Arabidopsis thaliana: one gene and its partners. The protein of the gene in region 4 purifies or fractionates together with the protein of the main gene of each other region. This does not show direct contact. Each region holds a gene or a part of one and is shown on either strand. Other genes may lie near its edges.

Region 1 (6,922 bases), on a different chromosome or scaffold from region 4:
TGGTGAAGAAACCGTTATCATGCCGCAAACACCATCTTATTATGAAGAAATGTCTTGCCAACAACAACCCGGATGCTCACTACATAAAAGGTATAATATGGTACTTTAACCTTGATCATTGTGACGTTGGTCTCCACCATATTGGCATAGCAGCTAACGGAGGCCAGAAAGAAGCAATCTACATGTATGTCATGCTATTATTATGTAGAGGAAGGACTGAAGAGGGAAAAACCTATATGAGCCAACTTGAATGGGCTAAAGACACCACCATGGCTGAAACGTGTTGGAAACAAATCAAAACTTCACTAAATGGGATTAGAGTGGCGAGAAAAAGATGCTACATGATATCACTTCGCAACATGAAACCCCCCGACGTGTGCCATCCAAGAAATTTGGACAACACATGTGAGAAATGTTTTTTCTACAAACAAATGTTTAAGTTTATTTTTATGGTATAACTTAAACAAAACAACTAGAGAGTTGGAAACTGTTTTTAAAAAATTCCCTATAATGTTTGTGGCAGTGAACTATCACAAAGACTCAAAACAAAGTAAAAGTTATTACTCTTATTTCTTTTGCTTTAATGTGTGTCATTCCTTGCTGTTATAAGGAAATTTATATTTACAATAAAATCAAACTTTTAATTAATTATCTAAGCATATCGTACTTTCAATGTTAATATTGTTATAATCCAACTCTTTTTGGCTAATTCGCGAAGAGACGTTGAAAAGTGAAATCTTCCCCAAACCAAAGAGTAGTTTCTAAGATTTTAACAGAGACACAAAGAGAAAAAACAAATGGGCGGGTTCATATTGGGCCAAAATTAACAATGGCAACGATGTGTAAAATAACTTCGTCGTTAGTCTCTGTTCTTCGCTATCCTCTGCAGCAACCGCTTAATGCGAGAGAGAGAGAGATTTCCATTGTATTTTTAATTTAAAATAAAATATATAAAAACAAGACCAATGTAACAAATGCATTGCTTAGATATATATAACTCTAAAAAATATTCTTACAAGATAGTAAGTTTGGTCTATTATCCTATAAATTCTAGCATATAACCGGTAACAACATGAAAAAAAAATGTAAAACTATACATAGATTACAAAAATGTAGAAATCAAAAGATAAGATTAGCAAATAACAAAGATATTCCCTTTTTAATCAAAGATCAGTAAAAAAAATCGAAGTGGTTAGTGCATACTAACAAAACCAAAAACAAAACCAAAAACAACGCGGGTCTCCTCCCTAGTCTTAGTAACGAAGGAGTGATTTTAGGATTTGATAATATCCACTAAACAAGTAAATATTTGCTATAACTATCAATAAAGTGGGCCCCCACTGGTTCAGTCTTCAGTGTGTCAAATAATTGTGGAGCCCGGTTGTCTTCGGTGAGATCAACCAAGTCGGTACAGATTCGAACCGGAAAATTGCCAAGAGGTTCAAGCGTGTGCATGATGAGTTCAGATTTAAGAGACAACTTTATGAATCAAAGTAACAAAATTGGTCAAAATAGAAAACTCACAGAACAAAAAATGAGACAAATTCTTGGCTCAAATCTAATAATACAGTGATCTCTTTGTCAAGAATTTCATAAGAAGCAAAGTGAGAGCGGGTTCAAATTCAGAGAAGCATCTCAGCGATCTGAACAGCATTCAGAGCAGCTCCTTTGCGTATTTGGTCTCCACAAACGAATATGTCCAGCCTGAATTCACAAAGTTATATCCTTTTAGGCATATCGCAAAGACATTTGCTTCAAATTCAGTAGAAAAGAGTGAGACTTTACCCGAAATTGCCATCTTGAGACACGTCTCGCCTTATCCTACCAACCGCTACATCGTCTTTGTTAGAGACATCGAGTGGAGTAGGGAAAGTATTTGAAGCACGGTCATCTATTATATAAACTCCAGGTGCTTTCTTCAGTATCTCCCTTGCTGTGTTCTGTTATGATACAGTAAGAAAAACCGTTATAACCTGAATAAGAACTTGATCATAAGATTCTTTTAATTGCGCAACAAGAATCACAATACATGCTACCAGAGCAAGTCCAAAGAACAACTTCAGGGTTTAACTCTGCAAGTGCATCAAGAACTATCCAAGCCTACTTATGCTGATTACATGCTGCTCCACATTTTTCAATGGCTTGAGTTAAATTAAAACCATAGAATGTGGTTTAAAACTTCAAATTATGATTCAAATTGTCATATCAGTGAGTGAAATCATAAGGTAACACAACAACACAGAATCAGTAGAAATCGGGTTCGACGTGTGTTATTACCTCATCAAGAGGATTCTCAAACTGAAGATTCACACTCTCTGCATGAGCACGCATAACTGGAACACGTATACACGTTGCTGTTACTTTTACTTCTGTGTCATTCTGTGAAGGGCAAGAAATTGGTGTGAGATATCTAAAATTTTTGAACAAAAGATCAAAGTGAAATGAACACAAAATAGCACTTAAGTAACCACTCACCCAGATCTTCCTTGTCTCCTTCACAAGTTTCATTTCCTCTTCGTTGTAACCGTTGTCAAGAATAGGAGCATTATGTGAAAACAAGTTAAATGCATACTGCAGAACAACATACAAAACCATCACATTACTCAAAAAGGGATTTCATAATCAGCACATTCGAAATACAAACTATAAGCAAATTAAGCACTCACCTGCTGCCCGAAGATGTTACAAGTCGGAGGTTTACCCTCTAAAACCTAAGAAAACACACCAATGCAAAGAAGACGAAGAAGCAGAATCACAACTCAGCACAATCATTAAACAATTCAATCAAAGAAGGCTGAAATAGAAACAAAACCTCACGAGTCTGCTGAACAAGCTCTTCCATAGCTGCAGCACCAGCACCACTAGCTGCTTGATATGTACTAACCACCATTCTCTTCACCTATTATAGCCAATCAAACATTATTCAGAGCACTAAAGTCTAAAGCTTCCATTGATTCTCTAACTACCCTTCAAAATTTTGGACTAAGCAGATTTCAGAATAAAAATCGAACCTTTGCGTGATGATGAAGAGGCGTAACAGCCATCAAACAGATAATGGTGGAGCAATTAGGGTTTGCAATCAAAGCCCCTTTGCCCATTCCAACTTTGATCCCTTTCATTGCTTCTGGATTCACTTCAGGAATCACAAGCGGAACTCCATCAACCATTCTAAAAGCCGAGCTATTATCAACAACAATGGTTCCTTTCTCCGCCGCCAGAGGACCAAACTCTTTGCTTATGGATCCACCAGCACTGAACAAAGCTATGTCTACACCGTTGAAGCTATCCGCCGTGAGCTCCTCCACCGTGTATTCATGGCCATCGAAGGCAACACGCTTCCCTGCGGAGCGTTTCGATGCAAGCATCTTGATGGAGCTATAAGGGAAGTCTCGATCGGATAAGACGGAGAGGAATTCTTGTCCGACGGCTCCGGTAACGCCAACGACGGCGAGTGAAGGCGCAGATTCTTGGAGAGACATTTTGACTCTTGCGGAGAAGTGTCTAGGTTTAGCTCTGAGAGGAAGGCGAGAGAGGAAATGGGTTTGTGGGGTTTGATGAGTGAACGTCGCCATTGTCGCCGCCGTGAGGAAGAAGAAGTGAGAGACAGAGAGATAGAGAGATTTTGGAGGCGGCTGATAGAAAAAAGCTTGGGACTTTAAAGTGTGTTAGTGAATTGACCAACATCTTCAAAATTCAAAACAGCAAGATTGTTTAATTTAAGATACAGAAACAGCATGATGTTTGAAACTGCTCATTCACCAGATTGAGTATATTCACACAACTTTCTCATGTGTTTCATCATTTCTTCTTTTGGAAATATTAAGTTGTTGAAAAGTCTTTTGTCATATAACAAGGCTTAGGGATCATATTTAAGAGCTCGTGATTCTGGTTTTTAGCTCAAAGACATCTATAGCTAACTTTGGAATCTTACACGTACAACAAGAGGACATTAAGTTTCTAGAAGTTAGTCTGGTCTGTTGATCAATCCTGCTTTACAGCTTACTTATGATGTGAATAAGAAAAGATAAGCAAGAGCGAGCACTCAGTCACCAGATTGAATATATTCGCATTACTTTCTCATGTTTTCATTGCTTCTTTTGGAAATTTAGAGATGTACCACTAGTTATGTTCTGACCATTACAAATATTCAGGTTAATGCTTCCAAAAATAAAGAGCTAAACATTATTGTTTGTTAGAGTTACTGGAGCAGCCTGAGGAAGAAGAACATCTTGGATTGCTGTGAGCTTAGCTCGGCCACCGTACTCTTCCGGTAAAGCATCTGCTCCGATCTCCTCCTCGAATTTTCTCTGTTCTTCTCCATCCGTAACTATCACAATCTATGCAACAGCAAAATCATAATTTATGTGATTCGTTGCTCAAGAACCATTAGAGATAGATACATCAAGAGGAGATTAAAGATCAAACCTTTTCCTGAGTTGCTTTCTCTAGAAAACGGCAGACGAATTTCCAAACGGTCACGAAGAATCCGGGCATATGCAAAATGTAGCATTTTGCAAGGCGTTCCGGGTAGTAAGACTAGAGAAACATTTTCCAAATTTAATAGACAGGACTTCTTTTTGTGTGATAACTATATTGTTTCAGGAAGAAGGGAGATGCTTACTTGTAAGAATTGAAAGCCAGTGATCAATCCACGAGCATCAAGGTTCTTGTATGTAATGTTTGCCAGATCAATAACGGCTACTAATTTCTCACCTCCAACTTCTTTGCCATTGTTGCCACTGAAACATAAAAACCAAAAAGCTTGTCTCACAACCAACTAACCGGAAGATTATTGAAGTGTTTTGGTTTCAATAATGTGTAAACACCTTGCGATTGTTTTGTCTAGCGCATAAACAACAAACTCTGCAACATCAAACAGATAAAAGATTAGTTCATAGATAATTATCGCAAGAATCAACTCAAGGAAAACACATAGATGGACTCAAAAAACTTCATTCATTTGAAGTCAAATGAAACTACTCAATAATTAGAGAACCAGGAAAGAAGCTGATCAGTTCTATGAATACAAAAGTCACTGAAAGTCAAGGGACAGATTATTTCCAACGAAAGTAAAGGTCAGAAGCAAGTGAGAGGTGATTACTCTTGAAGTTAGCTGGATCCTTAGAAGCAAAATGCTTAGAGGTTATGACAAGCACCAATGGGTGTCCGGATTTGGTCGGACCCTGAAGACAGACCTTTCTGAATTCCAATTCATCCTGCACTTCTGACTCAGGGATGAATCCAGTTGGAGGAACCATGGAGGCTCTCCATTTTTGCCAATCTACAAACATCTTTGCTGCCTTGACTGGGTCCATTGATCTTGCCACCAGGAACCTCATCAATGTTGGTTTGTCATATCCCTTTTCAGAGGAAACAACAACAACAAAAACCATTGATGAGATTTTCTGATTATGGATTCACTTTTACTAAACTGTCTCTACTGTTAGGGTTTCTGATGGGAGGCTCAAACCTAATCAGACAAACCACTATGACGAGAATGGAGACAGAGTTTTAACAGTGTAGCCCATATAAAACCCATCAAAATCAAATGACAGATATTTCTCATTTTCTAACGAGACATTGTCAGTGAAACTCATGAAACGGCCAAAAGATGCAAGCTTTGTAAACTGTAATGAAACTAAAGCGTCGAATTAGATTACCTCAGTAGAAGAAGAGAGTTTCTCGACCGATTTTCTCAACTGGGTCAAGGCAAGTTCTTGGCTTTCCTCCATGATCTTTGGCTCTCTCAGATCCTAAAAAAATCTCACAGAGAAATAAAGAGAGAGCCTTTTGTGGTCCGTACAGACGCACGATAAAGTAAGTTGAAAAAGTAAAGAGCTTTGATGTTGACAAAGACCCAGAAGCCACAGGAAGAAGAAACAGACAAAGTATTGGGTACTTGTCTCTACGGTAAGTGGATAGAAATAACTCAATAAGCCTTTCCCCAACTCGCTGCAATTAATGGGCAGCTGGAAGTTGAAGCTCTCTCTTTGACTTTTGTTTCTACTACTTTGACGATTTAAAACAGCTGTGATGATTACATTGCTTTTTAACTCCTAAATCCCGAATCTTAAGGCTTACTTAAAGTTCTTTTAATCATTTTTCTGATCAACCATGTGAAACAGGCTTTGTTAACGGTTATACATTTAGCTGCTTGTTCTTAATTGAGCATTGGAAATTCAGTTCTAACGATTTTTATTGTTTGTGACAGAAGAAAAGTCCTTTAGGTTAATAAGTTGTTCTATCTACATGAGATGTACATTAAATTTTCAAGAAAGATTAGCTTCTTTGTCATCTATTTGTTTTTAAACTTGAACTGGATCCAAATACAGTAATGGCACAAGTGGAGACCAATTGAATAAAAATCAAAGATTAGCTTCCTTTTTGTCTAATGTAAAGAGTGCGACTTCAAAATATGTCTTAACTGTTCTAAAAACCAGTATTCAAGAATCGAAGATACACACCAAAAAAAAGTGGGAAAGTTGTGATAGAAATTAGCGACCCAAGAAAACATGAGTAGTCGCGTGTATGTTTGTGTAGACTGGAAGTTAGAACTCCAAACATATCTATTATAATGCAGTGTGCCCACACGAACAAAGAAATTAACAATATAAAGAATATGTCTTAGCAAACCCCCTTACTTCCAAGCCACTGCATCGATGTCGTCTCTAGCTTGTTTGTAAAGCTCTAGCCGTTTAGCTAAGGTTCCTCTTCGTTCCATCAGCTGTGGGTCTTCGTCCAACATAGCACCCAGCTTCTCCTTCTGCACCATCATTTTTCTTAAATTTATTCTCGATTTGGGCATGGCATTTTCTACAAGGTAACAAAATAATCCAAAGGGTAATAATATAGTTTACCTCTTTCCTGCCAACTTGAGCGTAGAAGAAGTTGAGAAGCGATCTCTTAGCTTCTCTAACTTGGC
Region 2 (8,435 bases), on a different chromosome or scaffold from region 4:
ACGGTTTGCATTTAGACTTGGTTTACTCGTGATATCTCAACTTCAATTTTTTTCTTTGTGGCCGAATTTTAACAAAAAAATAGCTTTTAGCAAACTCAAAATGAAAAAAACAAATGGCTAATTAAAAGATCCCAACATGTTTCGTGAACTCGGTATCAGCTTTGGCCAAGCTCTCTTGTTAACGACTGATTTCAATTGGTAATAGTTCTGTTCCTTCTTATATTCTCTTAACATGTTTATATTCTTAAGTTTAATAACTAACAGTAGTTCCTTTCTAGGGATGAAGTTGAGCTTAGAATGGTTATGGAGCTGATTTTTTTTCGTGCTTCAGTCTCAACTTCATTTTTTTCTTTATGGCCAATTTTATCAAACAAAATTGGCATTTAGCAAAAACCCAAAATGAAAAACATATGGCTAATTTAAAAGTTCCCAATGATTTATGGTTTCTGTTGTCCCATATAGATTTATGAACAAGGAATAGACCATATTTTACTCTCTTGGTTTAGAACTGGTTTGGTTAAATCATATTCAGTTATTTGGTTCGGTTTACTAAGTAATTCACCGAATTTTTTTTTGTGGCCGAAGTAGAAACGTGTAAACTTCCTCTGGTTGAAAAATGGCGAAATATCTTCTCCACATCACACACTAGTTCTTCTTCTGCTCAATCTCAACTATCCCGTAAAACAAAAACGAGGGAGGAACCATGGCGGTGAGCTCATTCGCCGTCCTTCCTCCATTTGGTTCCTCATACAGCTCCACAACCGATAGATCTTCTTCTTCTTCGTTTTACTCATCTTCGAAACTTCTCCGCATATCTCAATACCGGTTCCAGTCAAATTCCCGTTGTCCAAATGTGTTCGTCTCGTGCTCACTGAATCAGCCTTCTGATGATGCTTCCGACGCCGCCCTTTTTCTCGAATCCAATTCAATTGCTGATTACATGCGGTTCAAACGCCGTCCCGACCCCGGAAATGGTACCAGCGAGTTGCAGACTGCAATCGTGAGTTACAAGAAACGTTTCCCTTGGATTCTTCTCAACCCTTTTCTTCAGGTTACATCACCATCTCTGTTACTTGCTGGGTTTCCATTTAAATCGATAAAGGTAACATTTTTATCGATTTCATCATCTCTATATTGCAGGTGGATTTGGTCTCAACTATTCATATTGCAGATAAAGAGTGAGTCTTTCTTCTATTGCTCGTAATTTGTTTATATCACTAGTGAGTTTGATTAAGTTTTAATTAGTTTCTTGTGTGGTGATATATGTGGATTGGGTTTGGGTGTGTAGGTACTTCACAACTCTTCAGAAGGAGCTTGAACCATATGATTCTATCTTGTATGAGATGGTGGCTAGTAAAGAGACCTTGGAAAACAGGAGAAACCCTATTGCATCTAAGAGGCTCAAGAGTTCTCGTTCAAGAGGTTTCAGTATTCTTGGGTTCATTCAGCGGCAGATGGCAAGAGTACTAACACTTGATTTTCAGCTAGATTGTCTAGATTACGATACTGAGAATTGGTACCATGCTGATCTCGATTTCGAGACATTCCAGTTGCTTCAGGTTTGTTTCCAAAGAACAGAAGTGCCTGTCTTTAGTTGTTGCTTGTTCTCTGTCATTTTTGAGTAATATTCTTTGGTTTCCGCATTGGCCTGTATCATGGTTGTATTATTTGGGAGTGAGAACTATCAGTTGAATGATGATTAAACCTGTATCATATTTGTTGCAGAAGGAGAAAGGAGAAAGCTTCTTCTCATTTGCCAGGGACATGACTATTAGATCAACAAAAGCAATGATACAGCCAGCTTTGGTAACTGAAGGTCGTGATACTTGGAGGTCAAAGCTTCTATGGGTTTCACGGGTTTTTCCTATGCCTCTTGTGGGTCTTTTCCTAATCGGGGCTTTTTGTGCTGACTTTGGAGATCAGACCTCAGACTATCCAGAATTAGAAGCACTTTCACGGCTTGACTTTGGAGCTGCTATGAAGGTTTTCCTTGCTAAGAGATTGACATCCGAGTAAGTCCGGTCTTGTTCATGATTCTGAAGTTGTTTTTCTTTTGCTGATCTAAACTTGGGATATGTGCTCTACTTGACACATTTCTTACCATTTGAATTGTGTATGTGCTTCAAAGATAGGGCAAGGCAGAGTAGTTTTTTTCTTATTTTCTTAGAACATGCAAATATATGTAAGGCTAGTAGGAAGTTAACTATTCTATTATTTTTTGTTGTTGTTGTGAAGGCTAACACTAGAGACATCAGATATAGAGGAAAAATCTGTCATCATTGGTGAGAGAAACCGAGCAGCTACGGAAGCTTTAAGAAGAGCAATAGAGCAAGGACACAAGAGAATTGGAATTCTATATGGCGGAGGCCACATGCCCGACCTGGGAAGACGACTGAGAGAAGAGTTTGATCTTGTTCCTTCAGAGGTAAGATGGGTAACAGCTTGGTCCATCAGAAATCCAACGGACTTGGAGACTAGTTCATATCCGATTCTGAGGAAAATGGCAGAGGCTTTGCGTTGGCCACTAAACCGGTACCAAACATTGGCATTGCTAATATTTTCATCTGTACTTGCACTGGATCTCTGCTTTTGGGAGCTCTTCTTTGGTTCGACAATTGACTGGGCTACCCAGATAGGTGCAGAGTTATACCAGTTTATAGATAATACAAAAATTGTATGACGCAGCACAGAATCATGTACAAACAGTGTCAAATACCTTTTACAGTGTCCCAAGTCTCTCTGTTGTAAAGCAAACATGGCTCTGATGTCAAAGAAATCTATTGAATAGGTAACTCTAGTTGTTTTTGGTTTGATGATAATGTTTTTATGAAGAAAAAAAAATTACTTAATAAATGGAAATTAGAATTCAGACAAAGAAAAACGACAAAAAAAAAAAAAGAAGTCAGACAAAGAAAAAAGGAATTGGAATATTTCTCGTATAAAAAAAAAATGTAAATAAAATTTCTCGACTTGTTGGGCAAGTTCAAGCATCGCCCACAGTTGCCAAATCGCAATATAGGCGCCCACAGCTAAAAGTTGATTCTCAAAACCTCTCTCTCTTTGTGAACAAGATTAAAAAGACGACTTCTCTTTTAACTTATTCCTCCTCTGCTTCTTCAAGATCCATTGTCTGCAATTTCAATCCCTTGTCTCGTCATGGATTCCGTCTTCTCTAACGTTGCTCGTGCTCCCGAAGATCCTATTCTCGGTGTATGTCGCTTCTCTGTTTGATCTCCTCTTACTTTTTTCGCGTTTTAGTTGATTTTTTATTCCGTCTTTGCTTCGATCTCACTCGGTTATCCGAAATCATGACGGTTATATCTGATTTTAGTGCGTCTCTACTTTTTTTCCGTCTGATCGGAGAGAGTTGGGATTTGATTTCTCTGTGTTTTACTCGATTTGGATATGATTCTTATTTGGCTACTGGGAATTAGAAGACATATGACTCTCGATGATCTACTGGCACAGTGAATATTATTAGTCTGTGTGATCAATGATTTGATTATTAGTTTTTAGTAACGTTTTTGAGAGTTAATGATTTGTTGAAAACAGGTAACTGTTGCTTACAACAATGATCCTAGTCCTGTTAAGATCAATTTGGGTGTCGGTGCCTACCGAACTGAGGTAATTTTTCGATTTCTGCTTAAACTGTTAAGCAACTTTATGGTATCAATTGTTTCTACTAGCCAGTTTTTGAAAGCTCAGGTTTTGATTAGTTTGTTTCTCTTTTTTTCAAAGGAAGGGAAGCCTCTTGTTCTTGATGTGGTGCGTAAGGCAGAGCAACAGCTAGTGAACGATCCGTGAGTTGAAGAACATTGTCACTAATTCGTGTAGTTGTCTCTTCTTATTCTTGTTTTTTGCTAATGCCTAAATTCTTTTCTCTACTTCTCTAAGGTCTCGGGTCAAGGAATACATTCCCATTGTTGGTATTTCCGATTTTAACAAGTTAAGCGCCAAGCTCATCTTAGGTGCTGACAGGTAATCATCTATACTGTTTATTTGTTATCTTTTCATTTGTGTTTTGCTTTGTTTCTCTTGTGACATAATATCCCCTTTAGTTGATAAAGTTTAATATTTTATAAATATTCTTGTTTTGTTGGCAGTCCTGCGATTACAGAAAGTAGAGTTACTACAGTCCAGTGCTTGTCTGGTACTGGTTCGTTGAGAGTTGGGGCTGAGTTTCTCAAAACACACTACCACCAAGTAAACTTCTCTCTATTTAGTTTTTTATTATATTTGACAGTCATTGAATTATGTAATCAAACAAGTGTTGCTTACTATGGTTCTCATCCTTCCAGAGTGTCATTTACATTCCAAAACCAACTTGGGGGAACCATCCCAAAGTTTTCAACTTGGCAGGCTTGTCTGTGGAGTATTTCCGCTACTATGATCCTGCAACCCGTGGTCTTGACTTCAAAGGTTGATTCTTAACTTTCCATTAATTTTTGTTTTCATCTTCATGTGGTTGCACTGACATTAATTTAGTCATGGTTATTGCTTGATTATCCATCTACTCTACTTTTCCTGTGTTTTCCTTGATATAACCACAATGAAATTATTTCTGTAAGTTTAATGATCGTATTTTGACAATTCTATGTTTGAAATTTGAGTAAGGAAAGAAATCTCAAGATTGCACTCTGTCAAAGTAAAATGGCATTTGATACAAACATTGACCTTTGATGCCAAAAAAACAGGCTTGCTCGAGGATCTTGGCGCTGCACCATCTGGAGCTATTGTCTTACTTCATGCATGTGCACACAATCCCACTGGAGTTGACCCAACCTCTGAACAGTGGGAACAGATTCGACAGCTGATGAGATCTAAAAGCTTATTACCCTTTTTTGATAGTGCATATCAGGTAGCACTCATAAAGGAAGTCTTGCTTTGTTGCTTTATTCAATGGTGGTTTACAAACAAATGAACCCCGTTATAGTGTATGCTTGAATCTTATCTAATGTAGAAAAATAGCAGCCTGACTCATTTTTCCTAACACTTTTGCAGGGTTTTGCTAGTGGTAGCCTTGACACAGATGCACAATCTGTCCGTACATTTGTTGCTGATGGCGGTGAATGCTTGATAGCTCAAAGTTACGCCAAAAATATGGGACTTTATGGGGAGCGTGTTGGTGCCCTTAGCATTGTAAGGAACCAAACTTCTCAATTTCTTATTCGCTTCTATTCATTTGACATTATGGTTAGTCAAAAAGTTCATCTAATGGATAGTACAAGAATACAGTATTCAAAAATTGCATCTAATCTGTGTGATATAATGTGAAGGTCTGCAAGTCAGCAGATGTGGCTAGTAAGGTTGAGAGCCAGGTGAAGCTTGTTGTGCGGCCCATGTATTCGAGCCCCCCTATTCATGGAGCATCAATTGTTGCCACCATTCTAAAAAGCAGGTACATGATTATCATGCTTTAGTTTACAATTACTTTGAATATATTATGTTGGAGAAGGAACCTTTAAACCGGAGTTAGTATAGTAAAATTACATTTTTAGATTATTACATACAAGATATATGTATACATTGAAAGCTGACATTAAAAATTAATAGGCAAGTGGAAAGAGAGATCCCTACTGATCTTCCATACGCAGTAATTTGATAGTTTATGCTGTGTTGAAATGGTTATGCCAAGTTTCTTTTTCTATGGAATCATGCATATATCACAAACATTTTCCTTTGCTTTATCAAGCTTATAATGAATATCTATGGAATTAGGTTCTGCTCTAAGTTTCTAAAATTTCTTTGTATATATTGGCAGTGATATGTACAACAACTGGACCATCGAGCTGAAAGAAATGGCTGACCGTATAAAGAGCATGCGCCAACAGTTATTTGAAGCTATACAAGCTAGAGGTTTATTATTAATTCCTTTCCTCTCTTATTTTTCACTCTGTTTATCTTCTTTTCCATGTTTGCAGAATCATTACTCTGCAGTTTTTTGTTCTTGACACGTTGTCTGGATTGCAGGTACACCTGGTGACTGGAGTCATATTATCAAACAGATTGGGATGTTTACATTTACTGGATTGAACAAGGAGCAAGTTGAATTCATGACCAAAGAGTTCCACATTTACATGACCTCTGATGGGTGAGTCAACTTATATTTTCTTTTCGATAATTTTAGGAATATGAGTGAGTTTGGTTTCTGCTATGCCTAAAACCATAAGTATATATGACATGAAGTATTTCTAAGAGGTCCTAAAATACTTTCGCCAAACTCTCTTAGTTGTAAGAGTATTAGCAGTAATAACCAGATATATATAGAACTAGATCCACAGGTTTCATTATGTTCTTCTTAGGCATGTGAACCAAGATAGTTGCTTTGATATTTTGAGAAAGTGAGATATGACATCATATTCTTGCTAGTGAAATTATAGTTGCATGAAGCAAAGGATATTAGAAAATACCAGATTTGTAAGTTTTCTGAGCTTCAAATTGAAAAAGGGTTACTTTGTTGTATTGCAGGAGAATAAGCATGGCAGGTCTAAGTTCGAAGACAGTGCCTCACCTTGCCGATGCTATGCATGCTGCAGTGACCCGCCTCGGCTAAACTAGCGACCATACATTTTTTTGCTGTTTCTACAAATAAAATGGGACAAAAAAAAAGAACACCGTTTTTGTTGGCTTATATACTATGGTTTTTTTCTGATGGTACCATATGTTTCCTCATGTCTTTTGACTAAAGATGGTTGAACCAAAACCAAAGTGAGGATTGTGACATTGAGATCTACCGTTTCTAAGAAAATATTGGTTACTTTAATTTGCCACCAACAATTGTTATTTTGCAGAATTTTCAAATGTCCTGTTATTTTATTTGCTGAGAGATCCTTATAGTTTGGTTCTCGCTGGAAAAAAATAAGTTTTGGGAAGTTTGGCACACCTAAGAAGAAGTATGATTTGTATTAGAAAAAAAAATACTTGTCGGAATACTCTCTAATTGGTCCATCTCTTAAAATATCACATAAACATAATTTTCAAATGAAGCAATCGATCGTTTGGAATTGTAAGGGACATATAGTGAACATGAAAGATAAGAAAATGTAAAACGGAATGAGGTTATATGGTTTTTTGTATTTAATTAGTTTTCTTTTGTTTCTTTAATGAAAACTTGTTTCAATGTGTCCATTTATAGGTAGACTCATTTGTTTAAGCCGCTTGATAAAAAAAAATGTCAATGCAATATTTATACATCAGTGAGTGGATGAGAAAATGGTCATAAACACCACTTTTCAAAGTGATAAATTACACGACGTGATTAAACGATTAAAGCAGTATTATAAGATATTGAAATCAAATCTTTTAAATTAGTAGGATAAACAGAAATGTTTAGACTTGGTAAAGAGTCGCCGTGTTACATGCCTCCATGCTACTGTTGCACTAACGAATTAGTCAAAATCTGATTTTAAAATTCGATTGTCTCTCTTTTTAAGTTATTAAGTTTGTAAATTCCAGCTATATTTGATCCATAGTCTTACTTAATTCGAGATCAGGCTTAAACAATAACGATCCACAAAACATAAATTATCCCTCTCCAAGTTTATAGCACATAGGATTCTAACTCGGTCCGGCGGGTAACTCTAAAACATCATTTTTCTAATCGGTTGAGCCAGTCACATTTTTGTAGACATATTTTATTTAGAAAATGTTCTTACAAGCTCATTTAACGAAATGTGGATTAGTTCAAATAACGAACAATTTTCTTACACGAAATTGTTCCAGTGAATCAAAACCTGAGCAGCGTGAGGTAAAATTCTAAACAAATGAAAGATAAAATAAATTAAGGAAAAGTCGGAGTATCTTTAACCGCCCTTCCACTATTTATCTTTTGTTTGTTTTTTGAAAACATGGACCGCACGTTGTCTCTCCAGCCCTAGAAAACTACTTCAACATTTCTCTGTTTCATTCATTTTGCACCAACTAAAAAACAAAAACATAAAACAACTGGAAAGAAAAAAGTACAGAACATAAAGTAGTTTTGTTTCATTCGGTGGTGAAAGAACAGAGACAAGGGAGAGCTAAAGGACTAGTTGCTTGATCTGTACGTCTCTTTTGCTTTCTTCTCTTCCATTTTGTGGATTTCATTTGCTTTGTTTTCTTTTATATAATACGATCTGAGACAAGAAAAAAGAAGAGAGAAATATAAAAAAGTGTGTGGAGAGATATAAATTGAGAGGAGTAAATTGGGAATGGTGCGGACATTAGGACGTAAACTAAGCTGGCCAAGATCTTTTAGTTTTAGAAAGATGTTCGATGGTCGGAACTCTGGACATTCATCTTTCTCTTCTCGTGGGGATGGCATGCATACACCCGAGCACGAACTCGCCGGACATGCTGCACCATCCACTCGTAGAGGCAAGCAAAATAGGAGATCAGGTAACATATTAGTGCAAGTTTATTTGGTAAATGGTAATGGCAAAATTTTAATTTAATGG
Region 3 (8,475 bases), on a different chromosome or scaffold from region 4:
GTGGTTGGATAATAATTTTATAAATTGTCTTTTTTGGGGTATTTGTAGAAAATTTGGCATATTTGGGGTTTTGGTGTAATCTAAATTAAATGACTAAATAAGAATATTTTCAAAGTTATAGGAAAGTTCAATGGTCTAGTCACCATAATAAATGATAATCTACAATTCTACATGCATCCCATGTCCGCTCCTATTAATTCAAATCTATTTTTTTCTTGATTTAATTGTACTTAGAGGTTGCTTACTATTGTAATATATATACCTGAATTTCACGTGTACACTTCTAAAGTGTATCTTATATTTACAACAAGACTATATTTTGTATTTAAAGTTGAAATTGGTAGGTGTGAATGTGTGATAGTTTTGGAGGAATGGTTTGGAAATATATCGATCGTTTAAATAAAATAAAACAAGAATATGGTGCGAGAGAAGGGATCAATTTGTTTGAACTTGACCGCAAAAATACTTTACGATGAGATCAATTTTCACTCGTCAATCATTTGGTGAGAAAAGGATGACAATTTCTAAACGAAGTTTATTCTAACTCTCTAGGAGATAATGCCTCAAAGGCTTACAAATTGCAATAAAATATAATAATAAGAAATGTGATTGGAAATACTAATTAAAAATAAAATAAAACACACCAACGAAAGGAAGAAGAAGAAGAAGAGAGAGGTGGTTTATGTTTAATTTGTAAAGCGGTAACATCCTGTAGCGGCACTGCAACCACGTCGGTATTTGTTATCCGGTTTATCCGGTTTACCATCTGGTTTGGCTGGTAAGTTTTTCTTCAATGCTTCGTAATCTATAAATCTCTTAGCTTGAAGTATCCTATGGCTCACATCTACACCTGAACTCATCTTCATGATCTCTTCTTTTTCTCCACCGTCCATGCAATTGTCACATTTTACCGGACGAGATCCGACCACAAGCGCTGGAAGCAAAGCTGCCGAGATGATCATCACAGCGATGATCAAGAGCTTCATGTTATTCATCATCGAGACTTATCAAGAGAGTGTAAAGTTGAGAGTAGTAGTTGTTGTTTCGTTTACGTTGAAATGGTTTGTGATGAAACACTTGGTTAATCTACACTTTTATAGAGGTTAATTTTTTTTGTAGAGGTTCATCGAATATTTGACCAGATTCTTACTCGAAAAAGAAAATCAAAATTACTCCGTCAAATTCATGGAATAAGAAATGAATACGGTGCCCAAAAAAGATGAACCTACACAAATAAATGATTCAGTGGATTTGTTTTGCTCTGTATAGTGATCAAAGTCGGTCAATTCGCATAATTAATTGGTCAAAGCCTCAATAATGATTTCCATATATGATAACATTGATGGCTCGTTTTTAACACAAAACTGAGGGGATGCATTGGAACATGATTATAACGTCTTATACTGCCGTTATAACGTCTCCGGTATCAAAGACAAGATACTATAACGAAAAGAAAAAAAAATACTAGAAGGAACGTTATATAAATAGCTATGAGAAAATAAAATTATGGGGTGAGAGAGGCTCGAACTCTCGACCTCAGGATCACTCAGTAGCTATGAGACCTACGCGCTAGCCAACTGCGCCACCACCCCAACTGTTACTATTAACACTGTTTTAGTTAATGAAATTCAAGGTAAAATCATGAAACACAAACAAAAGGCAGAACCCTTGACTTTATGAACGTTTGACTTATCCATCGAAATATAGAAATGGCTGCCACCCAAAAAATCTAAAATTTCTAGAAGCAACAACTGATGAAATTCGAGAAGAACAATATTCTTACATATAAAAGATTTAAAGATTATCCCCCTTCACTTAAAAAAAATACTAAACACATGACCTGGTCAAGAACAACACAAGACTCAGGCAAACATTGGTTGTGTGCTTTATTCGAAACTATAATAATATCTGAAGAAAGTGACAAGAAGACCAGAAAAGAGAGAGGTGAGGTGAAAAACGGTTTTGGTGCATGGTCCTCTCTAGCGAGCGTCCTTGGACAAAAGACCTTGCGCTTCAACTTTCCTTGCGTTGCGAAGCTCATCAACTCCATCTCCTCTCTCAAACACAGCTGCTGCACCCATCCCCGTCCCTGCCAGAGTTTACCAAATCAGTAAAACCATCCCTCAGACACATATTTCAGACACCAAATTCACAATGAATTATTCGAGTGAGAAGCATACCAATGCACATTGACACTACTCCAAAACGGCAGTCTTTACCACGGCGTTTCATCTCGTGCAACAATGTAGCAACACAACGCGCTCCTGTGAGAGTTTTAACAAGTATTAGCAACTGTTCATGAGCGTTTTATAATTATATAGACACAATGTAGACATTGATATGCTTTGAAAAGGACGGACTGCGGCAAGATAGAGCTCTTGTAAGTTGGTTAAAGAACCATTAGTGAGGACAGAGTTTATAAAGATATATCTCGGCTGTGGATTTCTTAAGGTTTGGTTGAGAGTTGAGAGATTCTCATTAATTCAAGTCTCTATGGTTTGGTAAATTGGAACAAGCTTAACAGTTTTAGTCCTGTTCTTAACAGATATACCTGTAGCGCCCAAAGGATGGCCTATGGCCATTGCACCTCCGTTGACATTGATTTTCTCTGGGTCAAGTCCCAATTTGTTACGGCAATAAACAAACTGAGATGCAAATGCCTGAACACACAAGGATTCAAACAGATGGTCATCATCAGAATGTGCGGGAAGAGATATGTGATAAGAAGATCATGAAATTGTTTGCTATATACCTCATTGATCTCAAACAAGTCGATGTCATCAAGTTCTAAACCAGCCGCCTTAACTGCAGCAGGAATGGCAACTGCTGGACCGATACCCATGATTGCAGGGTCAACACCAACTGCAGCAAATGTCCTGCAATATGTCCAATAGTGTGCTACTTAGAAAAAGCCAAATACAGAAAGAACAATGTATTTTCCACGTATACTAGCATATCTGTGTAAATGGAAATCACAAGCCTCTGCAGTTTTTTCGGTTTTCAGACTTCCACAGTCGTAGCTTTGTAAGTAATTATTACCCACCTGAATACACCAAGAACGGGAAGTCCTTTTTGCATTGCAACACTTCTCTTCATTAGGAGAACCGCTCCTGCACCATCACTTACTTGGCTGGAATTTCCTGTTTGCGACAGAACAAATGAAGCAATGGATTTAAAATTGTGATAATAAGAACTGTGGTTTCCATAATGAAACAATTGATTCGGGAAAAGTACCAGCAGTAGTGGTGCCATCCTTCTTAAACACTGGCTTCAGCTTCCCAAGAGAAGCAAGAGTTGTGGTTGGTCGGATACCATCATCAACAGAAACTGTAATGGGTTTCTCATCACCAGTCTTCGGGTCAACAAGCTGAAATTTAAAACACACGTTATTGACTAATACTAGAACATGAATGAAGTTCAGTAACTAATCCACCAAGAGAAGTCTTAAATGTTACAGTTATTGTATGAAGGATCTGAAAAATACCTTGGTCTTAACAGGAATGATCTCATCCTTGAATTTACCAGCAGCAGTAGCAGCAGCTGCCTTTCTGTGCGAGTCAACCTAGCAATATGACTCCATAGCTTAGCATAGCGATCAAAGTTATAGGTTATTTAAAATACAACCATACTGAAAAAGTTCAGTTCCCTTACAGCAGCTTGATCTTGCTCCTGCCTTGAGACACCAAAGCGTTGTGCTACATTTTCTGACGTAACACCCATAGGAAGAAGACAATTCTGCGCTTGTGCAAACTTCTTCACCTGAAATAACATAGTCCGTATTATAGTACGTATTAAAATAACAGAGCCAAGTAAGACTCCAGATAAGAGAGAATCAGTACCGCTGGGTTGACTGACCCTTCCCATGCCATTGGATTGGTAGTCATGGACTCCAAACCAGCCCCGATACCTGCATCCATCATATCGTCAGCTCGGTTCTCTATGAAAAAATGTGGCGTAGTTAAAGACGGTTATTCACTAACCAATGTCATAAAATCCCGCTTTAATGGCAGCGGCTACATCAGCAACAGCCTGAAGCCCAGATGAGCACTGTCTATTCACAGTTCTGACAGCCACGGTTTCTGCAAATGAACATAACAGGATGAGCATACAGGAAATAAAAACAAAGACTTTTCACCATTGTATTGTACTGTACATAGAAGAAACATACCAGGGAAACCAGCATAGAACGCAGCCATCCTGCATTCACTGGCTCTCTGAGATCCAGGTGCCAAAACAGTACCCACAACAATGTCACCTACTTCACTTGGGTTTAGATTCGTCTTCTCTATCAATGCCTATGTCAAGGAAGAACTATCTATAAATAGACGTAGAAAGGAAATAAAAACCAACAACAGAATAGAAAAGATAGCGACAGACCCTCAAAACAGGTGCGAGCAAATCATCGGGATATGTATCCTTGAAATTGCCACGTTTGGACTTGCATAGTGGAGTCCTATGTGCCCTGCAATGGATCAATAAGTGTAAGTCTATCAGAAAGAGACGAGAAATCTTCATACGTTGCTGAAAAACCAAATACCAAAAGAGTAAAAGCATAAGAGATGGGACTTACGCGACAATGACAACATCATCTCCATAGAGAGAGGTCCTCTGATATGCAGCACTGTCCCCAGCCAAGCAAGCAGAAGCCTGGGAATTTGGAAAGAACACGTTAAAGAGATCACACGTAGTAATTGAAATCAAGCTTTGACTTTTAAGAAATCATCAGTACATGCAGAGCACGGATAATTCAACCCAATCGAACAAAAATCAAACAACAACAAAAAAAAAAAAGATATCTATCTCAATCCAGTGAACGAAATACAAAAACAAAATCCAAGTCTTGAATTTGATCTCAATCGAGCTGAAACTTAAAATTTTCAGCTCACAGGCACGCCTCGAATCAAATTATAATTCAGCATCAAAATCAAAATCGAAAATTCCATATAATGAATCCAGATCAACAACGATCCATAATCCCCAGACTGCAAACACAAGAGAAGACAACCAAAAGATCGCGATAGATCGAGAGAGAGAGAGTGTGTGGTGATAGAATGCTTACAGATAGAGAAGCCTCGTAATTGTGCGAAGAAGAAGAAGAAGGTCGGAGATGCTCAAGAAGAACGCGTTGTCTCTCGATCGCTTTCTCCATTTTTTCCGGCTGATTAAAGATAAAATTCGGATCTGTTGTTTTTTCTCAGAGAAGGATTTGTTCTACACGAAAACTCACAGTCCTCGGGTTTGTGATCATTTATAAGGTAAGATGACTCACCGCTTTGCCCGTTCCGGGTAAATGATAATCCCAAAATAAGTAAGAATAAAAAATATCTCTTTTTCGTAATATTTCTTTGCTTAAACGACCAAAAAATATCATCTGTGACAGCGATACAAGTTCTTATCCTATAGTTGTAAAATCCAAATCAAACAGTTTTTAGCCTAATGACCTTACTCTAATTATGAATTAAAATGTTCACACTGGTTTGGTGATTGTTAATAGTGTGAAATAATTGATGATGAGAGTCATAGTCATAGATAAGCTGAGAGTGTGATAGAAGAAGATAAGATTAGGCGTGACGTTTGCCCCCGCCCGTTTTGGGCTTTGAAATGCGTGCCGTGTTTTTCATTTCCATCTTCTGGATCTTAATCTTCTTCATATTTACATAATAACCCCAACTATTTGTATTACTTCTATTTACGCCTTAAAGTTGCTATTAATTCTAAAAGTACCCTTCTTGAGACTTGATCGCTATTTTCTTTTTACGTTTTACCAACGTAAAGTTAAAGCCCATATGGTGTGATAGTTTGCAATACTATGGGCTCGGCCGGTTTAAACGAAATAAGAACGGATATTGTATAATAGTGAAAACTACATTTTCAATTAATAATGTTATTATGCGATTGACAAGCAGATGCAATAGTGTTTGAATAAAATTTTTATCAATATGAACTTTACTTAGGCATATATATTACCAATAATGACAATATGGCACTGCAACAATGCACATCTGCGTAAGGTTAGCATGTCAAGATCTCTTACACGCCGTGATACCAAATTTATATCGACTTGCAAATATGGGAGATTAAAGCTCTCTTTACTCAATTTTACTCAATCTTACAAACATTTGTGTGGTACTTTCCGGAAGTTTTCCGACATGTAATATTGAAATTAGATCGTGTAGAGAGTTATCAAATAACAAAAAAACTCGAGAAACTTTGTAGTTTTGTTATGTATCAGACTAGAAATTAACTCTAACTGAATGGAGAGATTAACATTGAAGAGGAAGAAACAAAACTGTACGTGATCAGCTTTACATTGTGCTTGTCTATCTTTACATTGTGATTATTGTAATATCGCCCTAATATTTTCGCATATAGTTGTCCATTTAACCTATTAGAGTGAAACATCTATATATTAATACTTGTCAATTTAATAATCATTGTAAATTAATAAACTTTTCCGGTTCAAAGTTGGACGAATATAATATATAACGTAATTGGATAAAAATGTTATTTGTTTTTCTTTGAATTTGTTTTAATTTTTGTGAAAAAGTCATTTTCAATATTTTTACTACATCTAAAAATTAACACTTATATAAATCAATAAAATATTTTATTCCCCATGTTATTAATTTATAATTTTATTTTACTGTATTAGCTCTTACATGCAACATCATAGACTTCAGTTTTATTTCTAACAAGATTATTTAATCTTAAACATCTATCCAATGTCTAATTTTTGTGAAACAATATAATATCTTATCAACTTTAGTTTTCAATCTTATCTTTTTATCTAATATACTTTGAGTTGGCAAACAAATCCTATGCAAAGAAGAGACGAAATTATTGAAAATGTTAATTTTCTTACTTAACCATACTAAATATCTTTATTCTATCATTTACTATATTCGTTATATTAACATATCTATGTTTTTTGTAAAGACAAAATGTTAACCAATAAATTTTACATTTTTAATAATTTTGTTTCTTCTCTGTATATATATTTTTTCCTGACTCAAAATTAAATGAGATAAAAAGATAATTGAATCTCTTATATATGATTTTAGGGTAAACATTCCCATATCTTATTCTTTTATATTATCTTTTTTTAATAACAAATACACATGTAAACTGTAAAGTATACATTTCTTATCTATATGAATGAAGTATAAATTTATTTAACACATACAAATTTAATAAATCATAAAAAATACCACGTGGAACTGTAATGTATAATGTAATGTGACACAATATACAGTCAAAACATTCCAACTTATACAGATTTATATAGATTCAAGCGGATATGCAAAAAGAAGTAGAAAAAGAATGAATCCTACATTTATTTCATAATTTATTAGTAGTATATATGTACATAAAATCATCTTATTCCATCTTAAAAGGATCCTTTCATAATATTATTCCTAAGTATTTTCCATATGGGTGATAGTAAAGATTGCGTTTCCCATATTTGTTAAATAAATACATATATTCTTATCTTGTAACTCTATAAATAAGAAGCCTAAACGCTTTATTTTCCTTCAACCAAAAAAGGGTTACCAAACCAAAGAAGAGAGAATGGCGTCTAGGGTTCTTCTGATTTTGTGTGTGCCTTCTCTCTTCTTCTTCCTCGCCGCTTCCACGAAGGAATATCCCGGCCAACCAAAAATCTTTGACGTCAGAAACTATGGTGCTCGCGCAGATAGCCAAAGAGATAACGCTTTTGCGTTTACAAAGGCGTGGAACGAAGCTTGCCAATGGAGTTACGGAAGATCAACGGTCTATATTCCTTCCGGAATATTCTATCTCCGTCAAGTAACATTCTCTGGTCCTTGCAAAAGCTCTATAACTTTTTTTATCAGAGGAACTTTATTGGCTCCTCGTAATCCTTACGCCATCAACCAAGAAGAATGGATACTTTTCAAGTACGTCGATAATCTCACTGTTACTGGCGGTGGATTACTTGACGGTCAAGGATCTTATTCTTGGCCTCTCAATGATTGTAACAAAAACACTAATTGTCGTACACTAGCTATGAACATTGGGTTTGCTTTTGTTAAATCATCGAAGATCAACGGTCTAAGGTCCATCAATAGCAAAATGGGGCATTTCAACTTATTCTCCGTTGAGGATTTTAACATTACCGGAGTTACCATCACTGCTCCCGGAGATAGCCCTAATACCGACGGAATCAAGATCGGGAAATCTAGCCATATGCAAATCTACAACGTCACTATCGGAACCGGTGACGATTGTATCGCAATCCTTGACGGAACCAGCAATTTGGATATCTCTGATGTCAGGTAAATATAACTCTTGACTCAATCTCACTAGCTGTGCAAAATGTTACTTTGAAATTAACTAAAGAAATAATGATGAAGGTTTTGAATTGAAAATAACAAATAGAGGAACATTTAGTTTATTCTTTTCCTCTTTAGTAGGTGATTTGTTTCCTTAACTTTTTCTTTCTTAACAAACTTTGAA
Region 4 (6,554 bases):
GTTTCTTCAATATGTTGCTGAAGTAATCCTGCAAGTACTTCTCTAGAGTCACCATATCCTTCTGATCCACACCTAGTAGACTATTAGTCTCAGTCATCGGAGCAGAGAAGACCGTGTCACTCGAGAGAACCTAAACGTACCAGTGTCACACATATGTTAGAAGCATGATTTCAGCTGATCTGAAAAGCTACTATGAAACAAACTACAAAAGCATCATTGTTTGGTGATGAAGGCCAAATCTTACCTCTGAGAAGGCCAGTCTATCCGCGACATCATTTGTCCATTGAAAGAACCGAGTTAACTGACGCGTGACTCTCAATACAGAAACTGGAACGGTTGTGACATTTGCATCTTGCCCAGCAAGTCTCTCACATAGTGTTATCACCTGAATTGACAAAAGGGTAGTAAAAGGTTATGCTTTAGTAATATTTCTCTATTCCTTTCATTCAAAAGAGCGGTAACTATAGCCTTGCTTACTTCTTGTGTTGTCCATGCACGAGGGCCAGCGAAAGTCAGAAGTTTTCCATTGATCTTCTCATTACGTAAAGCTATAAGTGTCAGCCTAGCAATATCCTGTTATAGCATGAGGAACATGTTTAGATCATTTTATGTGTTTCATCCACATATTACACAGAGAAATGGAGTACATCTTCATTTGATTACTCACCTGTGTGTCCATGTAAGCAACACGCGTTGGTGCATCTGTTCCCCAAACCGATTTCTCCTCCAGAATTGGAACTGCATATTGACCAATAAGACCCTGCATAGCCATAGGCATAGTATACTCTGGATTAAACAACAATCAGCCATTACCACATTCAACATCATGTACTCACTTTCAGGGACAACTAGACGCATAAGTTCAGGGGAATGAGGCTTACTTGCATGAAACCACATAACCGAATGGTGATGTGGTTTAAACCAGATTCCTGAAGAAACTTCTCAGTGCAGTACTTAATCTCCATGAGAGGAACCTCAGGATGCTTATCGCAATTGTGGATTGAGTAAAAGACGTATTTCTGAATCCCCATTGCCTTTGCACATTGTATCAGAGCAACTTTTCCTTCCCAATCTACCTAAACCGAACACACATAACTTTCAATCACATTGGAAAACTGAATCCAACACTCAAACGTACAAGCCAAGGCATGAAACTGAGTATTAGACACACAAGCCAATCAAACTTTAATAAGTCTCACTAGGCTAAAGATTGAGTCTTTAACAAAAAGATATAATTTAGAAGCTTACCGTCTTGATAGGTTCTTCAGGACGTCCCGTGGCACAATCAATTACAGTGTGAATCCCGACCAAAGTCGCCGGAATTGTCTCCGGTTTACTAAGATCCGCCTAAGACCACACAAAACTCCGGTTTTAGTTCTCTTTTGGACAAATTTAAATACTTTGAGTAACTTTAAAGGAAGATGTGAATACGTACATTGACTACGGTGGCGCCCCAATCACGGAGGAAATCGGCGGGAGCTGGTCTTGGTCGGACCAAACACCTAACATCATACCCTTCATCTAAAGCTCTCCGGACGATTTGTCTTCCCAAAGTTCCAGTGGCTCCAACCACCAAGATGCTCGTGGGTCGGACTGGTGTCCCCGGAGCAAGATTAACCGCTGCAGCACTGCATGTAACCGGAACTACTATTGATCGTTCCCGGTTAAGGGATGAGGATGAGGAAGATGGGAAGAGCGGGATTGTATTTTCCGGTGTGAGAGAACGTCGCCAAGACAGACGCCCGGAGGAGGAGGATGAAGAGTTGTGGTGGATGAGATTGCCACGTGTAACTAGTTGAGCGGGGAGCCTGAGCGAAGCCATCAGTGTCGAAGAGAAGAGAGAGAGACAAGTGAGGGAGAGAGAGATAGAGAGACGACAGTTGATGTGCGTTTGGCCACGTCAGCTGGTGTTTTGACATTGGATTGGCTTGCATTTGCTGCCACGGAATAAATATTATTAAGAAAAAGGAAACTTTATATCGGTTTCTATAATAATACTTACGGGCCGGGCTTGGGCTCAAATTTTCTAATTCTGATCGGGTATAGTTTTAGCTGGATTTTCAAAATATTTGCAATGTTTGTTGAGAAGATATATTATACTAATAAACTATTTTCAGTTATGGGCTGCAATACAAAAGTTTCAAGCCTCATCCAAAACTCTACCAAGAGGCAAGAGGTGTCAAAGTTTAAAAGTCATTTTCGAACTTGCCGGGTACCAAATGTGACATCCCAAATCCGATGAAACAATTTCAAGTGATTTTAAAATTAGTCAATGTTAATTCACAAATTAAATTAAAGACTTGGAGTAAGAGCAACCCCAATGGTTGAGCCCTTAAAAGGGTTTTTTAAAATTTTAAATTATAAAAAATTAAAGTGTTTTTGTTGGACCATTAATTTTTTTTGGTCTAATGTTTAAGTGGGTCTTTTAAAAAAATATATTATTATTAAAATAAAAATTATTTATATTTTATTTTATAAAACTTAATAAATAATACAAATATTAAAATTTTAAACAAATATGATATATATATTAAAAATCATATGGACTAAAAAAGAGAGAAAAACGCGAAAAGAAAAATAAATAAATGATGTTGTCACAATGTTCAACCACACACACAATGACACGTTAGAGTTTCTTAACTACTCAAAAACCTCTTAAAATAAAGTTTTATATTTAAAAACATCCATCAAAAATTAACCAATGTGGATGCTCTTAAGAAACCACCATTCGAGGTGATCAAAGATACCATCAATTTTTCATTCATATTCTTGAAATTACGAATCCATAAAAGTTTGCATATTCCACGAACAAGTGTTTAAGAAACTTTGACATGACAAAAGGCGCCAACAAACGTAGCAACATGAATTATTTGGAACATGTTTTTTTTTCTTATCGAAATATTCCACGGCTAAAGAATATAATAAAACTCGAGGTACAAAACCAGATAACCGTTGTGCTTGGATCATACCCCATATTTTGGCAACACAAAATCTGTATCAGGAATTTGATGATTTATGCAGAGCGGGAACACGTAATTTGTCAAAGTCAGTCTAGTTTTGCAATGACCGCATCAACGACCTCTTGAGTCGTGCTTGTTCCACCAAGATCTTTCGTCCGGCACTTTCCTTCAGCGATGACTTTCTTCACTGCTGTTTCGAGCCGGTCAGCAAATGAAGGAAACTGAAGGTGTCTAAGCATCATCGCTGATGAGAGAAGCAATGCCACTGGGTTTGCTTTGTTTTCCAATACTATCTTGTCTTTCCCAACATTTCCTGCTGATGCACCTTGCTCGAATACCGCATGGTCAGCCCCAACATTTCCTGTTTTTGTATTTAATGTCGCAGATGTATAAATTTTAGAACTATTCTTTATCCACTAATGTATAGCTCGAGAGAATATCAATACAGGATGTTTTTTTACCTCCAGGCATGACTCCTGTGCCTCCAGCAATACCAGCAGCAGTGTTTGCAACTAAATTCCCATAGAGATTCGGCGTTACCTGCAAAACATTTCATAAATTGCTGTTATAAAAGGGGGGAAAAGCCAAAAGACGCTACTACATACAGTAATGAAAGGTTAATACTTAGCAACAGTGAAGTTACTGCTCTAACGAACAATAGTGTATGCAAAGTAGTAAGTATACATAGACAAGGTCACAGAAGTACAATTTAAAAGATTCCCTGAAAGCATGATATGCAAATGACGAGATTAAATAGTATGCAAATGGGGCGATTAACTATAGTATATGGCAACACAACATCAGTCTCATACCAATAAGATAATATGACTCTAAAACAGGCAATCTAGAGGGATACCAAACTAGGGAGAGATGACTGGTATCTTTTTCTCAAAGTAAAACATCGAAGACTTAAAGAACGTCATGAAAATTCATATGTATATAACTCTGAAACATACCATGACATCGAATTGCTCTGGTTTGGCTACAAGTTGCATACAGCAGTTATCAACAATGATTTCATTGTAGGTGATGCTGGGATACTTTTTCGCAACCTCGCGACAAGATTCCAAGAACAAACCATCCGCAAGTTTCATGATGTTAGCCTTATGCACCGCTGTAACTTTCTTCCTGTTGTTCAGGTAGGCATACTCAAAAGCATACTTTGCAATACGCTCCGAACAGAACTTCGTGATCACCTAAGCATAGAAATAGGATCAGAACAATCACACATAACATACAAAGACCACTTGCAAACGAAGATGATTCCACAAATACAGATTGAATCCAAAACGAGGAGCAGAAATCGGAATTCTCACCTTCAGACTCTCAACGACACCAGGAACAACCTCGTGCTCAAGCCCCGCGTACTCACCTTCAGTGTTCTCTCTGATGACAACGATGTCAACATTCTCATGGCGAGTAGGTAAACCAGGCAAATTAAAACAGTTGACCAGAGAAGCAAAGAGGTCAAGCTCTTTCCTAAGCTGGACGTTAAGAGAACTAACACCACCACCAACAGGAGTCTTAAGCCCACCTTTCAAACAAACCTTATTCTTCCTTATCGACTCCATCACTTCCGGCGGCACACGGCTCATTTCTCCGTGAACATCGTACTTCTCGAAGAAGATCGGAGCGTGCATCGCTTCCATCACCTGTTCCACGGCGTTCGTCACCAGAGGACCGATTCCATCTCCGGGGATCAGCGTCACTGCGCGTGGTGCTCCGTCACCGGGTCTGGGCATGTAAGTCACGGATCGGGTTTGAATACCTGATCCATTCGCGTTTCTAGCTAGATTCTTGAGGAGAGTTAGCGATCTGCGAGACATTTTTGTCTTCAATTTTGGGTTGAATCTGAAAAGATTTGATCGAAAGAGAAGAAGAAGATTCGCCCTTTGGCTTTTGGGAGCTGGAGGCGGACGAAAAGCGTTTATTGTTAAAATTTAGTTATTTACACAATTCGCCCCAAAATCTTCATCTCATTAAGATATTTCCATAAAACAATAGATAATCACCGATTAGACCACTTTGTTTCAGAATCGTCAATTAAGATATTTATACAAATCCCCCCAATCATTTAACTTCATCAACATTTACTCAGTAATTAATTTAGTTTGACATTTGCTTATTTTTCACTTCAGATATTTACAAAATTGCCGCAAAATCATTGATCATGCAGAGTACTACATTATTTGCAAAATCATAACTTGCACCCTCGAATTTCATCAAGGCTTTGGTGAAAGAAGTCTTAGAAACACGGAGATTGGCAATGTTAAGAGATTCGAAGCATAGTCACGTGAATCAACTCCTTCGTCATCCTGATTTTTAGTACCAAATGGTACAATCAGGTACACTTGGTCTGATTCTCTTGACATAGGTTTTTTGTTTTCCATGTTGTTTTCTCCTGTCTCTGAAGTTTAGGTGGCAATGATAGGTTCAGGATCAATATCTTCCTTTGTGTCACTCACTGAATCAGAAAGAAACAAAAACAAACCAAAACGAGAACCTTTTGTCTGCAGGCTTACTTGTTTCTTTAACAAATACTGATTTGAGGATTTAACAGAGATACTCTGGTTAGGAACTTGGAAGATCACTCCACTAGGTGGTTCTCTCTCTTGAACACATATTCCTGCTTAAAAACCAAGAGAATCTCTATAAATATCATGTGTCCTCACCATCCAAGTATACACTTTCTTCTCTACTTTTTCTGCCAAAAATAGCTTCTGTGTTTATATGACTATCATTGCCTATATAAGTAAAACGTCTAGCCTTTTCTTACTTTCAAACTGGCATAATGTTTTTTCTTGTTTCTTTCTGAATACTAACTCCTTATTGACTGTAATGTTTGTACACAGTAAGCTTTGATGCCCCAAAAAGCACCCTTAAGAATTTCATGCATAGTTAAGTAAGAAAATAAATACAAGTGACGATGTAGAAGATATATCAATTTAACATACTTGCAGAGCTTAGTAGAATCCAGAAGACAAATGATGTACAGACAATAATAATACATACATATAAGCATGTTTCTCTGGTACGCATCGCCTTATTATACAAAAAATCTGCTAAGCCGATGCAGGAAACCAGTCCACTACTGCTGCTTGCAAAATGGGGGCACTGAAAATATGTTTACAAACGATGCCCATTGCTATAAAATGGTGAGTAATATTTTTCTAACACACTAGTAAATTAGTCGAATCTCCTGCTCTTTTCTTTTCTTTTCTTGCAGGTAACAACCTTATACCTGATAGCTTATAACGAGGGACCAAGACCGATGCTACCAAAAGAACCTCCCAGCTTGACTTGAGAAGCTTCATGAACACTTATCTTGATCGTGCGGCTCTGTGATGATCTATAAATGTCGATACATTCCTCGAGATCCGCTTCACATGTCAGAAGAACCCATTCCTTGTCATCATCCAGGTACTTAAGATCAAAGGGTGCAATATTATCTATGTTAAAACGCCTAGCAATCTCATGCTGCAACTCTCTGAAGCCCCAAGTAGGAAGCAAAGTAAACCGTACTTTGGCTTCACCAAATGTGGCTTTCACTTTTGAGGCCCCTCCAGCTTTCAACTTCCTGCTACTATTCTCCGG

What was found.
Region 1: the proteins of IDH1 (region 4) and AT1G14810 purify together in Arabidopsis thaliana (affinity purification with mass spectrometry, with the first as the bait; one large-scale study listed by BioGRID). This does not show direct contact.
Region 2: the proteins of IDH1 (region 4) and ASP2 purify together in Arabidopsis thaliana (affinity purification with mass spectrometry, with the first as the bait; one large-scale study listed by BioGRID). This does not show direct contact.
Region 3: the proteins of IDH1 (region 4) and PKT3 purify together in Arabidopsis thaliana (affinity purification with mass spectrometry, with the first as the bait; one large-scale study listed by BioGRID). This does not show direct contact.

The regions. Positions count from the first base shown.
Region 1 is NC_003070.9:5,101,062-5,107,983, forward strand, and holds AT1G14810 (semialdehyde dehydrogenase family protein), read right to left. Parts: upstream 3,790-6,922; 5' UTR 3,573-3,789; coding exon 3,012-3,572; intron 2,900-3,011; coding exon 2,813-2,899; intron 2,712-2,812; coding exon 2,667-2,711; intron 2,572-2,666; coding exon 2,476-2,571; intron 2,380-2,475; coding exon 2,278-2,379; intron 2,243-2,277; exon of another isoform or gene 2,121-2,242; coding exon of another isoform or gene 2,091-2,120; exon of another isoform or gene 1,941-2,090; coding exon 1,786-1,940; intron 1,705-1,785; coding exon 1,623-1,704; 3' UTR 1,498-1,622; coding exon of another isoform or gene 1,377-1,497; 3' UTR 1,363-1,376; downstream 1-1,362. Other genes in the region: AT1G14800 (Nucleic acid-binding, OB-fold-like protein), read left to right, coding at 1-184, 1,377-1,497; AT1G14820 (Sec14p-like phosphatidylinositol transfer family protein), read right to left, coding at 4,176-4,337, 4,426-4,536, 4,622-4,739, 4,827-4,863, 5,102-5,360, 5,661-5,732; DL1C (DYNAMIN-like 1C), read right to left, coding at 6,638-6,763, 6,858-6,922.
Region 2 is NC_003076.8:6,595,045-6,603,479, forward strand, and holds ASP2 (aspartate aminotransferase 2), read left to right. Parts: upstream 1-2,926; 5' UTR 2,927-3,156; coding exon 3,157-3,210; intron 3,211-3,552; coding exon 3,553-3,624; intron 3,625-3,738; coding exon 3,739-3,800; intron 3,801-3,894; coding exon 3,895-3,978; intron 3,979-4,103; coding exon 4,104-4,203; intron 4,204-4,298; coding exon 4,299-4,419; intron 4,420-4,694; coding exon 4,695-4,858; intron 4,859-5,001; coding exon 5,002-5,139; intron 5,140-5,276; coding exon 5,277-5,398; intron 5,399-5,761; coding exon 5,762-5,856; intron 5,857-5,970; coding exon 5,971-6,091; intron 6,092-6,468; coding exon 6,469-6,553; 3' UTR 6,554-6,927; downstream 6,928-8,435. Other genes in the region: AT5G19540 (thermosome subunit gamma), read left to right, coding at 704-1,051, 1,141-1,178, 1,289-1,559, 1,726-2,012, 2,236-2,680; ROPGEF10 (ROP uanine nucleotide exchange factor 10), read left to right, coding at 8,190-8,376.
Region 3 is NC_003071.7:14,045,835-14,054,309, forward strand, and holds PKT3 (peroxisomal 3-ketoacyl-CoA thiolase 3), read right to left. Parts: upstream 5,567-8,475; 5' UTR 5,150-5,566; coding exon 5,060-5,149; intron 4,648-5,059; coding exon 4,571-4,647; intron 4,463-4,570; coding exon 4,378-4,462; intron 4,296-4,377; coding exon 4,169-4,295; intron 4,080-4,168; coding exon 3,981-4,079; intron 3,908-3,980; coding exon 3,840-3,907; intron 3,760-3,839; coding exon 3,652-3,759; intron 3,563-3,651; coding exon 3,485-3,562; intron 3,368-3,484; coding exon 3,235-3,367; intron 3,141-3,234; coding exon 3,044-3,140; intron 2,877-3,043; coding exon 2,753-2,876; intron 2,661-2,752; coding exon 2,552-2,660; intron 2,265-2,551; coding exon 2,181-2,264; intron 2,090-2,180; coding exon 1,980-2,089; 3' UTR 1,644-1,979; downstream 1-1,643. Other genes in the region: RALFL18 (ralf-like 18), read right to left, coding at 687-998; AT2G33160 (glycoside hydrolase family 28 protein / polygalacturonase (pectinase) family protein), read left to right, coding at 7,570-8,294. UniProt on the Arabidopsis thaliana protein: Involved in long chain fatty-acid beta-oxidation prior to gluconeogenesis during germination and subsequent seedling growth. Confers sensitivity to 2,4-dichlorophenoxybutiric acid (2,4-DB).
Region 4 is NC_003075.7:16,771,448-16,778,001, forward strand, and holds IDH1 (isocitrate dehydrogenase 1), read right to left. Parts: upstream 4,925-6,554; 5' UTR 4,787-4,924; coding exon 4,277-4,786; intron 4,157-4,276; coding exon 3,917-4,156; intron 3,501-3,916; coding exon 3,422-3,500; intron 3,322-3,421; coding exon 3,047-3,321; 3' UTR 2,695-3,046; downstream 1-2,694. Other genes in the region: HCF244 (NAD(P)-binding Rossmann-fold superfamily protein), read right to left, coding at 1-130, 245-385, 478-573, 668-760, 882-1,076, 1,249-1,347, 1,436-1,822; AT4G35270 (Plant regulator RWP-RK family protein), read right to left, coding at 6,210-6,554. UniProt on the Arabidopsis thaliana protein: Performs an essential role in the oxidative function of the citric acid cycle.